Linked DNA regions of Arabidopsis thaliana. The protein of the gene in region 1 interacts with the protein of each later gene in a pairwise test. Each region holds a gene or a part of one and is shown on either strand. Other genes may lie near its edges.

Region 1 (6,348 bases):
TTCTTCTTTATACAATGGATATGTCTTGTTGTCGAAAACCCATTGACCGGTGAACAGATCACACTCATCCGGCGGCAACTCCACAAATGAACTAGAGAATGGGTTCGAAGATGTGAAGTCAGCAATGGAGGATTTGAGGTTGTCATTGTACATGAAGATCCCGAAGAAGAAAAGAGAGAAGAAGATCACGAAGATTGAGAGATAACTCTTCTTTCTTTGCTTCATGGTCTCTCCTGTTTCAAAAAATGAAACTCTTGTTCTTGAAGGTTGCATGATTTGATAAAGAAGGAAGAGAGACTTGGTCAACAGTTATGTAAGTGTCGGCATGTGGCTCAGAGAGATAACACGCACGAAGGAAAGAGAGATAATCATATAGGAGAAAAGAAGATGGGGATTATTAAAGATTGAGAACAGTGAGTTAAAGAGCCAAGCCTAATTGGTGGACACAGAATTTTCTATAATTTGCCCTTTACAATTTTAAATGTAAAACTCTCTCTTCACATTCATTCATAGACTTAACTAATTATGGAGTTTGGCAAAGAAAGAATAAAGTTAGTCGTTTCTTTTTAAATTGATTAATGAAAGTATGCAGCTTGTGATTATATTCCTAACTTTATTTTGAGGGTCGCACGACTTAAACCAGCGACTTTTTCCTCATCCATTTTAGAAGAATTCTATTCGATAGTTCAAAATTGAGTCTTGAAATTGTTTCGGGTATTTAGCATTAACACACATCGATAACACCGGAAAAGTAAAGATTTTATGCGACATTATCACATGGTATGGTATTTTTCTGTGAAATAAAAAGTAGACCACATGTTACATGCTTTTCTTAACTCTACTATTAACGATGCTACTCTACTGATCTTTTTTCCTTCGATAACCTGAAAGAAAGATAGTGCACTGACCGTTTCTACTAGAAACCAATTAGGTATGAGTTTTTACTTTTTAGTGTCCTACACGATAGAAATTATGGACAAAATTTGACTTTGGGTAGGTTTCTTTGTAATCAGGGGTCGTTAATTAAAATTTGTGGAAATCTTTTTGAATCTAGATAAGAAAAGATTTTCAATAAATAATAAGCTGCAAGTTGTATATGTGAGGAAAATAACAAGCCAAAAAAGCTCCCCAAAATCTCTTAGGCCCATTTTTTCTAAAGCACTTGAAATACGTAACCAATAAGATTAAGATATCACAACAATTACAAAGCTAATAAGATGGATCCTTCAAAGAACATTTGAACTCATGCATCAATTATTTGCTTTTAATCATTACATAGTGTCACGAAGGACAAGAGAATGACAAAGAAAAAAAGAACATAAAAAAACATATACTAGTAACCAAACTATGGGTCAAACACAAATCAAAGAATTATTGCCAGATTTGTTAGATTCTGTGTAGAGAGGCCCAGAAGACAAAAGCAATATAAATCCCACATCTTTCTTTCTGCTTCTTATGCCACAATCTGCTGCTCATGGTCTATATACATTTGCTCTGCCCACGACGGCAGCTTAAACTTGTCTCTACTCGCTGCACCATTCACCGTATTCCCAACCCTCTCATTCACTCTCTCTGGTGCATTCTCTTTCACCAGTGAGTTCACCCACGACACATCTGGCTCGTCACTGTAGTCTCTAGCAGGGCGTGACACACTGTTGTTGTTGTTTCCATGAATGCCGAAGGAGGCACTTCTCCTCAACTTGTTCAGCTCATCTCTTTGCATTCCCCACTCAAGCTTCCCATTTGGTGATCCCCAATCGGAGACATTAGAAGCTACTGGAGCTGGTTTGAAACTCAAGCTGCGTTTCGCAAACGCTGAGGATCTTGCATTCATCACTGCAGCTGCCATGGCTGCTGAAGATTCGAATCCATGAGGAGGAGGCTGCCTCACAGGTGAAGACGGATAGTGGTTCATCTGAGAATGCCTGCTTGGTGATTGAAGTTGCATCACAGAAGCTGAGTCATATGATCCGAAAGTCTCTTCGAGGTTGGATGGCTTGAGATCACCAAGTCTCCGGTTATCCAAACCGCGAAACCTAAGTTCCATCTCCATATCCATATCTCTAGCACTCAAAGTCGACTTCAATCTGCTACCATTAAGCTGCAACGGTGGTGGTGTAAGGCTATTAACTCTGTTCTGCCATAAACCACCATTTCTTGGAGACAAAGGAACACCATTAGCCATAGGAGAGTTCATTGGCGATGATCCCAGCGTCAAAGGAGACATAACAGACATCTCAGGAGACTGATTAGACGACCTTGGTGAAACCATTGCAGAACCAGTAGAAGCATTAACCGGTCTTAACTCATCCCGTCTATGAGCAAAGAAACAAACTCTCCTAGCACAACCAGTCTCATCTTTGCAAAGCCGTGTCCTATACTGCGCCGGGTGAAGCCAAGACTCGAAAACACCGTGCGCGTACTCACACGAATCTCCTTTAGGACAAGACCCTTTACGAAACTCGGGACAAGGCACACAAGTGTAAGGATACTTCCTAGGATCTCTCCTCCTTGCATTCTCACCAGGATGAACAAAAGGACATTCAGTCCAATCATGTGAATAAGCCCTAGAACATGGCTTAACCTTAAAGCTAAACATCCTAAAATCATCAGTTCCATAAACACCTTCGTTAATATCAGGAAGTGATGCATCAGCTGGATACTTAGTCACAACACTCTTCAGTTCCTCCTCCTCTTCTTCCATAACCGAACCATGAATCCCGGTCAGTAAAACCTCAACCGCCTTTCTACTCTGGTTAGGAACAAACCGAGAATCTTTAGCCAACAAATCAACCGGTTTGTTCCCATTAGCGTCAACACAATTAGGTGAAGCAGAAGCATCAAGCAAGATCTTGATGATCTCAACGATAGAAACAGAACAGCCAGAAACTGCACAGTGAAGAGCAGTGACTTTCTCGTCACTGCAAACTCTGTTCACATCGGATCTTCCTGTGGCAATTATGTAATTCAACACTTCCATGCTTCCATACATAGCAGCAACCATAAGTGGTGTTCTTTCTTCAAAACCCATCTTCTTAGACCCGACCCGTCTGCAATACCAAAACCCTGACTCATCAATCTCCACCGATGGATTCTCTTCGATCTCTCTCTTAAACGATGAAAGATCATCACAGGCGGCGAATTCGAGGAGACACGTGGCGGAAGCTCCGTCTTCTGATTTCTGCCTCATGAATTCGACTTCTGTTAGGGTTTTAGATGAGCAAAGGTTGCTCTTTGCACCGCACATATCTCTTCCTGTGATTCAAAAGTGAAAAACTTTTAGGAGAAAGCAACAAAGAATGAGAAAGAGCAACGCAAATTGAGTTCTTTCGATTCAAAGTTTCAATTTTTCATTTTCAAGATTCTTCTTTATACACAAAATCAATCCCCAATTTAAGCAAAGTAATGAATAATTACACGACCGTTTCGTCAAAATCAAGCCATTAAAACCATAAAGATTAAAGATTTAACCAAACCCAGAATCCTGAATGAAATAGGAAAAAACAGAGAGAGAAAGAATCAAGACATACCTAGAAAAGAAGATAACTTGGAGAAAAAGAGAGAAGTAAAGATTGAAACTTTGGAGGTTTTTGGGGAGAAGAAGTGGTTGGGGTTTTTGAAGAAGGATCAAATGAGAAAGGAGAGGCTCCTTTTAAAAGGAACTTGGTTTTTACGAAGAAGGAAAGAGGAAGGTACGCTCTTTCTTTCGTCTACCTTTCTCGGTCTTCTTCTTCCTTCTTTATATCATTTTTATTTTTTACTTATCTTTGTTTTGTTTTGTTTTTTGCTCTCTTTCTACATGGAAATGGTTTAGGTCAAAAGTCAAAACTGGGAAACTTTTAAAAAAGGTAAGGACGTCGTTGTTTTGCTGACTCTTATTCAATTGTTTTAGTGTATTTTTTTTGTCTTTTTTATAAAAAGAATATTATAATATCTATCTTCCTATCTCATTGATTTTTTCAATATGGCTTTTTAAAATGATCAAAAAGCAAAGTTCATTTGAAGGGAAATAAAACAATGCCCCCATTGTATCGACTTACATAAGAAAAAGTCTCATTCCGGATGTATTTATTGTTTCTAGATAACATCTTGTTTTTGGTTAAAGTTTCTAGATATAAGGATAATGTACCCATTTGGTTTATTTATAACCGAAACCATTGTTGGTTCTCTTTAGGACCTACTAAGTTCCTAATCAATTACTTTGTTTTAATTATACAAAGCAGAAAGAAAACTCAAAGGGAACTACTACCTTACCCATCCGGTAAACTCGTTTTAGGAGATCCATTTATACTCAAAAACCCTCATTAGAAAATAGCCCAAAATTTATATGTTGTTGATGTTACTATGCATTCTCTATATGGCTATAGATGTATGTGATATCAGATTATCTACATGCATTTAGCTGAATACATTACAGGAAATAGACTTACAATTACTAAATAGTTATGTATATCTATCTGGACAATTATAGGTCACATTTCAAAAGACATAATTTAAATTTTAACATCTGACCAAATCTACAGTTGTTTATATTTTACATCTGCATGCTGTTTTTCATATAAACGCATGGGTGCCCAAAACATGTATGGGCAAAGATCCTGAGATATTAAAAAATATTGTTTTTTTCCAAGTTCCAACAGGTCCTAAGGTATTAAAAACTATTTGTAACAAAATAAGATTAAAATAAAATTACTGTCAAAAATATTAAAAAGAAATTAAAAAAGAACATAATATTTTTTTTTTTCATCATCATCAAAAAAAAATTAAAAAAAAAAAAAAAAAAAAATATTATGTTCTTTTTCATCATCAAGAACATAATATATGAGGTTGAATAAATGGTAAATGACGTTGGGGATGTGTAAAAGACCCACCATCGATCAAATCGACCGACTTAGCAGGTAACCTCCACAAGCGTGTGAGTGTTTCAATACTCTTAACACGCGCTTTCATTATCACGTTGGCTACTCTTTTTTCTAAAGATCACTATAATTAACACACAACAATCTTAAATATATTTTACATGATCAATTAAAATATTTTTGGTTCGGTAGAACTACTATTCAAACAATACATACATACTTTAAAAGATTGGTACGAATCAAAATCTATTGGTAGTAAACAATTCGTAAATAGAGATCAACTTTATCTCAGTGTTCTTATTGATAAGCTTATCTTAATGGTCTTGTAGGTATAGTTGTAATGGAGTGATTAGGGTAAAGCGAGTGAGAAACACGGGCAAGGAGAAGTGCGTGGAGAAAGAGGGAAAGTGAGGCACGCCTTCTCTTCTTTGGTGTTTGGGTGGGCGACAGAGAATGTCTTCACTTGGCCGCCCGCTTACACTTTTTCCCCCATTTCCTTAATTGTTTGCTATCAAAAAATTAATGCAACACCTTTAACTTTTGCAAAAATATACTATAGTATATAGTATTAAATATTCACTTATTTTTCTCTCGTCACATCAAACATAATGGATTAGTCCGTGGATTTGATCATTTGACTTACTCCTCATTATTCTCTACTTTTCTTCGATTCTTCTATATATCTTCCGTGGAGTTTTCGTAGTCACAAATTTGCTATTTTGTGAACTCAATTCATACTACTCCACAATTAAAAAAAAACACAAATTGATTAAGAAATCTAAATCACTAAATTACAAGAAAGTGTACTTGTTGTTGTTTATATGAAAATATAAACATAAACATACACATAACCTGTATGTATGCATTTTAACAACCTAATCCTATATATGGTCAAACTCATAAGTACCCATCATAACTCATAATTACCTTAAAACAGGCTGATAGTTTTCAATCATAATCAGCATATAAATCATATACTACCAATTAAACTGATATGTGAATTCTAACACATCCTCTAACTATCTATAGATTATGTGTGTAATTTTTTTTCGTGACATCATGTTTACCAAAAGAAAAGTGTCATCATGTTTCTGGGTAAGTCGAGTCGTAGATTTGCTGAAGAATAAGACTATGCGACGCTCCTTGGGGTCAATTTTGGTTCTTTGTTTATATGGTCAACTTATTATTATAGTAACATTTTTATAGTGAAATAATTTTGTGTGTTTTGCCTCCAAAATATTTCCCAAAACTCATCAGCAAATTGCATCAGATTGTGGACCGAGTTATCGATATCATGGAAAACGAAAAAAACGGATCGGAAGACAGTTAATCGGTCATTCGCGAAAACTGAATACATGGTATTCGCATTTTTAACTTAAGAACTGATATGGTTCAAGATGATCATCACGGTACTCGGACATCCACACGTTGAGTCTATGCTAGTTCATTGCAACAAATCCGGTCTTCCAAATAAATCAATTTTGATCAT
Region 2 (5,240 bases), on another chromosome or scaffold:
AGGATCGTGGCGATTTTAGCGATCGGATTTATGAGAGTGGGAGATATAGTAGAAAAGGGATTATGGAAACCCTAGTTTGGGTTTCTCTTTGAATTCAAAGAATACTTTTTTTTGGTGAGTTTCTAGAAAATTTCCCTTACGGATTTATAAATATGAGGAAAATTGTGAGACTGGAGAGAAGACGGAGCTGTAGGGTTTTTTTTTTTTTATACACAGATTTTTATTAGCTTGCAGAATATTTTCCCAGAGAACTATAAATATTATTGCCAGCGAATTGAAAATTAACCGTCATCTGAATTCAGTAAATCAGCCCATGGGCTTGAATCTCTCTCACCTTAGGCCTTAGGTGTTGCATACTGATAGATTAAGATAGACATGTATAAATGTTTTGTGAGTTAGCAAATATAATGGTGTTTTTTCACTTTCTTAATCTAATGTTTTATAAAACAAATTGTCACATTAATACATATAACTAAACTACTTACTGTGAAATTATTCATGGAGACAACTTCTGTAGCTAAGACCTCTCGATTTTTATTTTGTATACTACAAACTAGGTAATTGTAAGAAAAGGTTTGTTCTGTAATGGCATTGTCGATTACCTCGTAGAAGAGGTTGGAATATTTCCGATGCCCGTAGCAAGATATAAAATCACAAATTCATTTTTCAGTTGTTAAAGAAAACAATTGTGGCTTTTTGTGTAGAACGACATTTCGTTATGTGGGTGGCGAGTATGGACAAACTACCCACTAAGTCTTGGTTAACAGCTTGGAACACAATTTCATTTTCTATCTATAAGCAACATATGCAATATAATCAACCAAATAAGAGAGATCACTTATTCTTTTGTTCTATCATATTTTGTGTGTCTGTTTTCAAAGGTTATACCGTCACATTATCCGCTTCTCACACTTGAGGCAAATTTTATGAGTTAGATAGCATATTGCCAAACACTCCAGCTATATATATCTTTTATCTTTTAGATTGATCTTTGTCTAATCTGCGAAAACAGCAAGATCATTTCAGGCTTCTCCATCACAGTTAGAATCATTTTCAAACGGATCGATTGAATGAGCAATCAAAAACACATTTTTATCGTCTAAGGAGAAATTTCCTTGCAATACTACTAATTTTAGTACAAATTTTGTTTACTTTTAAATTATGTAATGTTCTTTAAGTTTATTAAAAAATATCCCAAATTATATCGAAAGAAAGACATTAATAAAAGAAATGTATTATTGTCTAATTAACATATTTCGAAAGAAACAAAATACTGACTTTTTTAAGCGCTACTGTGTGCTTTTTTTACGGAAAAGTTAATCAAATACCAAAGAACGAAAATTTTCATTGTAGTGTGTCATGTGTATCTCCCATATATATATACGTATACATCGAAAAGATCCGAGGGAGAGTGGGCACAAAACTCTAGAAGTCAGATGCAAGTGTGTGTGAAAGAGAATGTGAAAGAGTGAGGGAGAGAGAAACTTCCTCTTCCTTTCTTTCATGCTTACGACAAAACTTCACCGCCACCTGTTTTGTCTCAAATCTTTTTTCCACCTTTTTAATTATATAATTTATTAAATGTTTTAGACTTATGAAAAATATTAATGTATATTCGCACGTATGAGACTACAAATCATATAAAACGAAACCCTATACATATAAACTAAGAGCGAGAAAGACAGCTAGAGAGAGAGAGAGAGATGAAGAAATGGTTGGGATTTTCATTGACACCTCCTTTGAGAATCTGCAATAGTGAAGAAGAAGAACTTAGGCATGACGGTTCCGATGGTACTCTCTTCTTCACACATCATCCCCCTGGTATATATATGTTGTTGGTGTGGCCACTATTAATATTCTTAATTTGATTTCTATTTTATGTGTAGTTTGGAGATATGATATTAACTTTGATCATCATCATCATGATGAAGACGTTCCAAAGGTGGAAGATCTCCTCTCAAACTCTCATCAAACCGAGTATCCTATAAACCATAACCAAACCAATGTCAACTGCACCACTGTGGTTAACAGGTTAAACCCACCCGGTTACCTTCTCCACGACCAAACCGTAGTTACACCACATTACCCGAACCTAGATCCGAACCTTAGCAATGATTATGGAGGTTTTGAGAGGGTCGGTTCGGTCTCGGTTTTCAAATCTTGGTTAGAGCAAGGCACTCCAGCATTCCCACTCTCGAGTCATTACGTTACTGAAGAGGCTGGTACGAGCAATAATATTAGTCATTTTAGTAACGAAGAGACTGGTTATAACACCAATGGCTCAATGCTATCATTGGCTTTGAGCCATGGGGCTTGTTCTGATTTGATCAACGAATCGAATGTATCCGCACGGGTCGAAGAACCGGTTAAGGTAGATGAGAAGCGGAAGAGATTGGTTGTTAAACCTCAGGTAAAGGAATCCGTTCCTCGGAAGTCGGTTGATAGTTATGGACAAAGAACTTCTCAGTATCGTGGAGTTACAAGGTACGTACGTTATTAAATAATGACGTCTCAAACATTTGTTTTGGTTTAAATGATGTCTCAAACTTACACGTAAGAAAAATGTGAATGCCACAATTATGTTACTTATGTATATTTGTCATTTTATTTTGTAGATTATGTATAATTGTGTCGACACATATTTATGTTGTGCGTGTATACAGGCATAGATGGACAGGGAGATATGAAGCTCACTTATGGGATAATAGCTGTAAGAAGGAGGGACAGACAAGGAGAGGAAGACAAGGTCAGAAAAAACAAATACAAAATAATTTTCCGATTCAATATGCTATCATGCATCAATAATCTTACTAACAATTATTTAATTTTGGCTTCGTATGTACTTTCGAATTCGCTTCTTGATCAATCACAGTGTATCTTGGTAAGCCAGAACTTTATTTTACAACCTATTATGCATGAGATCCCTCGTTCATTTCTTGTTGCCCTATTTTTGGCCTTCGAAGTAAAAATTAACCTTGTTACCTTCTGATAATTATAGAAAAACATTTAATAGTAGAATTAATACTTACTAAAATAGGAGGGTATGATGAGGAGGAGAAAGCAGCGAGGGCATATGATTTAGCGGCTCTGAAGTATTGGGGTCCTACCACTCACTTAAATTTCCCTGTGAGTTTGATCTTTCTGGTCCCGTACCTAGCTCCACTTCTAACTCCTTTATTACATGCAAGTGTGTTTTATATATGTACACTTATATACATGCAACATAACAGTTTCCATACTTATTTCGATATTTTGGATCTTGAATGTAATCATTTTCCGATTTTATTGACTTGATTTTGATGGAACTACATAGATTTGGCTTGTGATATCAGTTCCTTTGACGCTCTTTTATTCAGTTGAGTAATTACGAAAAGGAGATCGAGGAACTCAATAACATGAATCGGCAAGAATTTGTTGCCATGTTGAGGAGGTAATTACTCAACAGTGGGTTTGTAATGATATTTATGGACCTTATATAGTCATATGCATTTAACCATTAACAAACGCTTTGTAATTACATATCATAATCATAGGAATAGCAGCGGGTTTTCGAGGGGAGCTTCCGTGTATAGAGGAGTTACAAGGTTTGATTTGGACATATATGTGAAACTTGTATATATTTATATATGTACATGTACATGCATGGAATTAGATCATGATGATCATGCATGTATAACTCATGTAGGCATCATCAACATGGAAGGTGGCAAGCCAGAATTGGAAGAGTTGCTGGAAACAAGGACTTGTACCTTGGAACATTTAGTATGAACCACTTCTATACATATGGAATTATATCATAGCCTTTGAATTATTAAATATCACATTTTGTAACTATGATGAAGGCACGCAAGAAGAAGCAGCGGAGGCGTACGATATCGCGGCAATTAAATTCAGAGGCCTAAACGCTGTAACCAATTTCGATATAAATAGATATGACGTGAAGAGGATATGTTCAAGCTCAACGATTGTTGATAGCGACCAGGCCAAACATTCTCCCACCAGCTCTGGCGCCGGCCACTAACCGACACCGTAAACTCCTCGCCGGAGAGACTATTCCCACGTACGGTTGGTTTGAGGAAATAAGTTCGTCCAGTCTGTTTAATCATTTATGGTTTAATAAACATATATTCCTAAGTAATTGAGGCCGGTCTACATATATACAACTTTTTTAGCAAATTAAGTTATCAGAATCCACTATATATTATTCTCTATGATATACTTTGATTAAATTTCGTTTTTATTTTTAATTGAAAAAAGTTAATGCATTCATTATTTACAGGATCCATAACATAAGTGTTAATTAATTAGTATATATTAACTGCACCAAGTTGAGGAGAGGCGATTCCTCAATTTGTGTGCCTTCTTCTGTCGTGGTCGTACTTTAAGGAAAAGCGTTACAAATTTAAGTGAAACTTATTTAACTCATAATCAAATCCATCCAAGCCTTTGATAGTTTGATTAATTTTGAACCCGTATCGAGCTAATTCCCTCATGCCATGGTGAAAATAATTGGTGTCAATGGAAATTTGAAGGTTTCTATGGACTTCTTGAGATAAACTAAAGTAATATCAGATGTTAAAAAAAAAAAAAAAACTTTTTATATAATTTTTATTTTATTTATATGCTCGGTTACAAAGCCGGACAAATATCTAGCCGTCAAGAAACAAAAAAAGAACCAACATATGACATATATCACCATCATCGTTATTGTTATGATTCAACATTTAATTAGGGTATATTCTTGAAATCAACTTCAACTTCAACTAATTCTCTTTCTCCTTCTTTTAGCGGCAATGACTGTCCTATCTTTGTCAAACAATTGTTCAGAAGTTTTACACAGTTCATCATCTGATTGAACTTTTCCATTTCTTCGTCACTCAAAAGCGTATCATCTGTGACTTTTTCCTTCCCCAAATAAGTTTGTTCGAGTTTCTTTAGAACCTCCTCGACATCCTCCACATTCTTTTTAGTTTGTTCAAGGGTCGCCAATTCAGCGACATCTCTTTGTGATTCATAAGAAGCCATTTCTTATATAAAATAAGGTAAAGGAAGAATATGTGTGCGTGATAGAGAGATGATGATAATGGTGGTAAATGAGAGTTGAAGAACAAACATATTTATAGTGTGGGGTGGCTTATATTAATAAAAATAACAATTAATATTTGAGATAAGAAGATTTGTTCCCCATAAATTATAGATTACCTAATTAATATAGTGTGGTTGAGTAAAGAGGATTGAAA

Evidence for each region. Proteins that work in one complex are often made in the same cells at the same time.
Region 2: the proteins of CZF1 (region 1) and AT1G72570 interact in a two-hybrid assay, tested with the Arabidopsis thaliana proteins (one large-scale study listed by BioGRID).

Annotation. Positions count from the first base shown.
Region 1 is NC_003071.7:16,769,436-16,775,783, reverse strand, and holds CZF1 (zinc finger (CCCH-type) family protein), read right to left. Parts: upstream 3,788-6,348; 5' UTR 3,531-3,787; intron 3,256-3,530; 5' UTR 3,248-3,255; coding exon 1,454-3,247; 3' UTR 1,050-1,453; downstream 1-1,049. Other genes in the region: TBL28 (TRICHOME BIREFRINGENCE-LIKE 28), read right to left, coding at 1-273. UniProt on the Arabidopsis thaliana protein: Involved in salt stress response. May positively modulate plant tolerance to salt stress.
Region 2 is NC_003070.9:27,329,678-27,334,917, forward strand, and holds AT1G72570 (Integrase-type DNA-binding superfamily protein), read left to right. Parts: upstream 1-1,703; coding exon 1,704-1,791; intron 1,792-1,886; coding exon 1,887-2,484; intron 2,485-2,663; coding exon 2,664-2,746; intron 2,747-2,872; coding exon 2,873-2,881; intron 2,882-3,037; coding exon 3,038-3,126; intron 3,127-3,356; coding exon 3,357-3,430; intron 3,431-3,533; coding exon 3,534-3,584; intron 3,585-3,685; coding exon 3,686-3,762; intron 3,763-3,842; coding exon 3,843-4,021; downstream 4,022-5,240. Other genes in the region: AT1G72580 (uncharacterized protein), read right to left, coding at 4,729-5,025.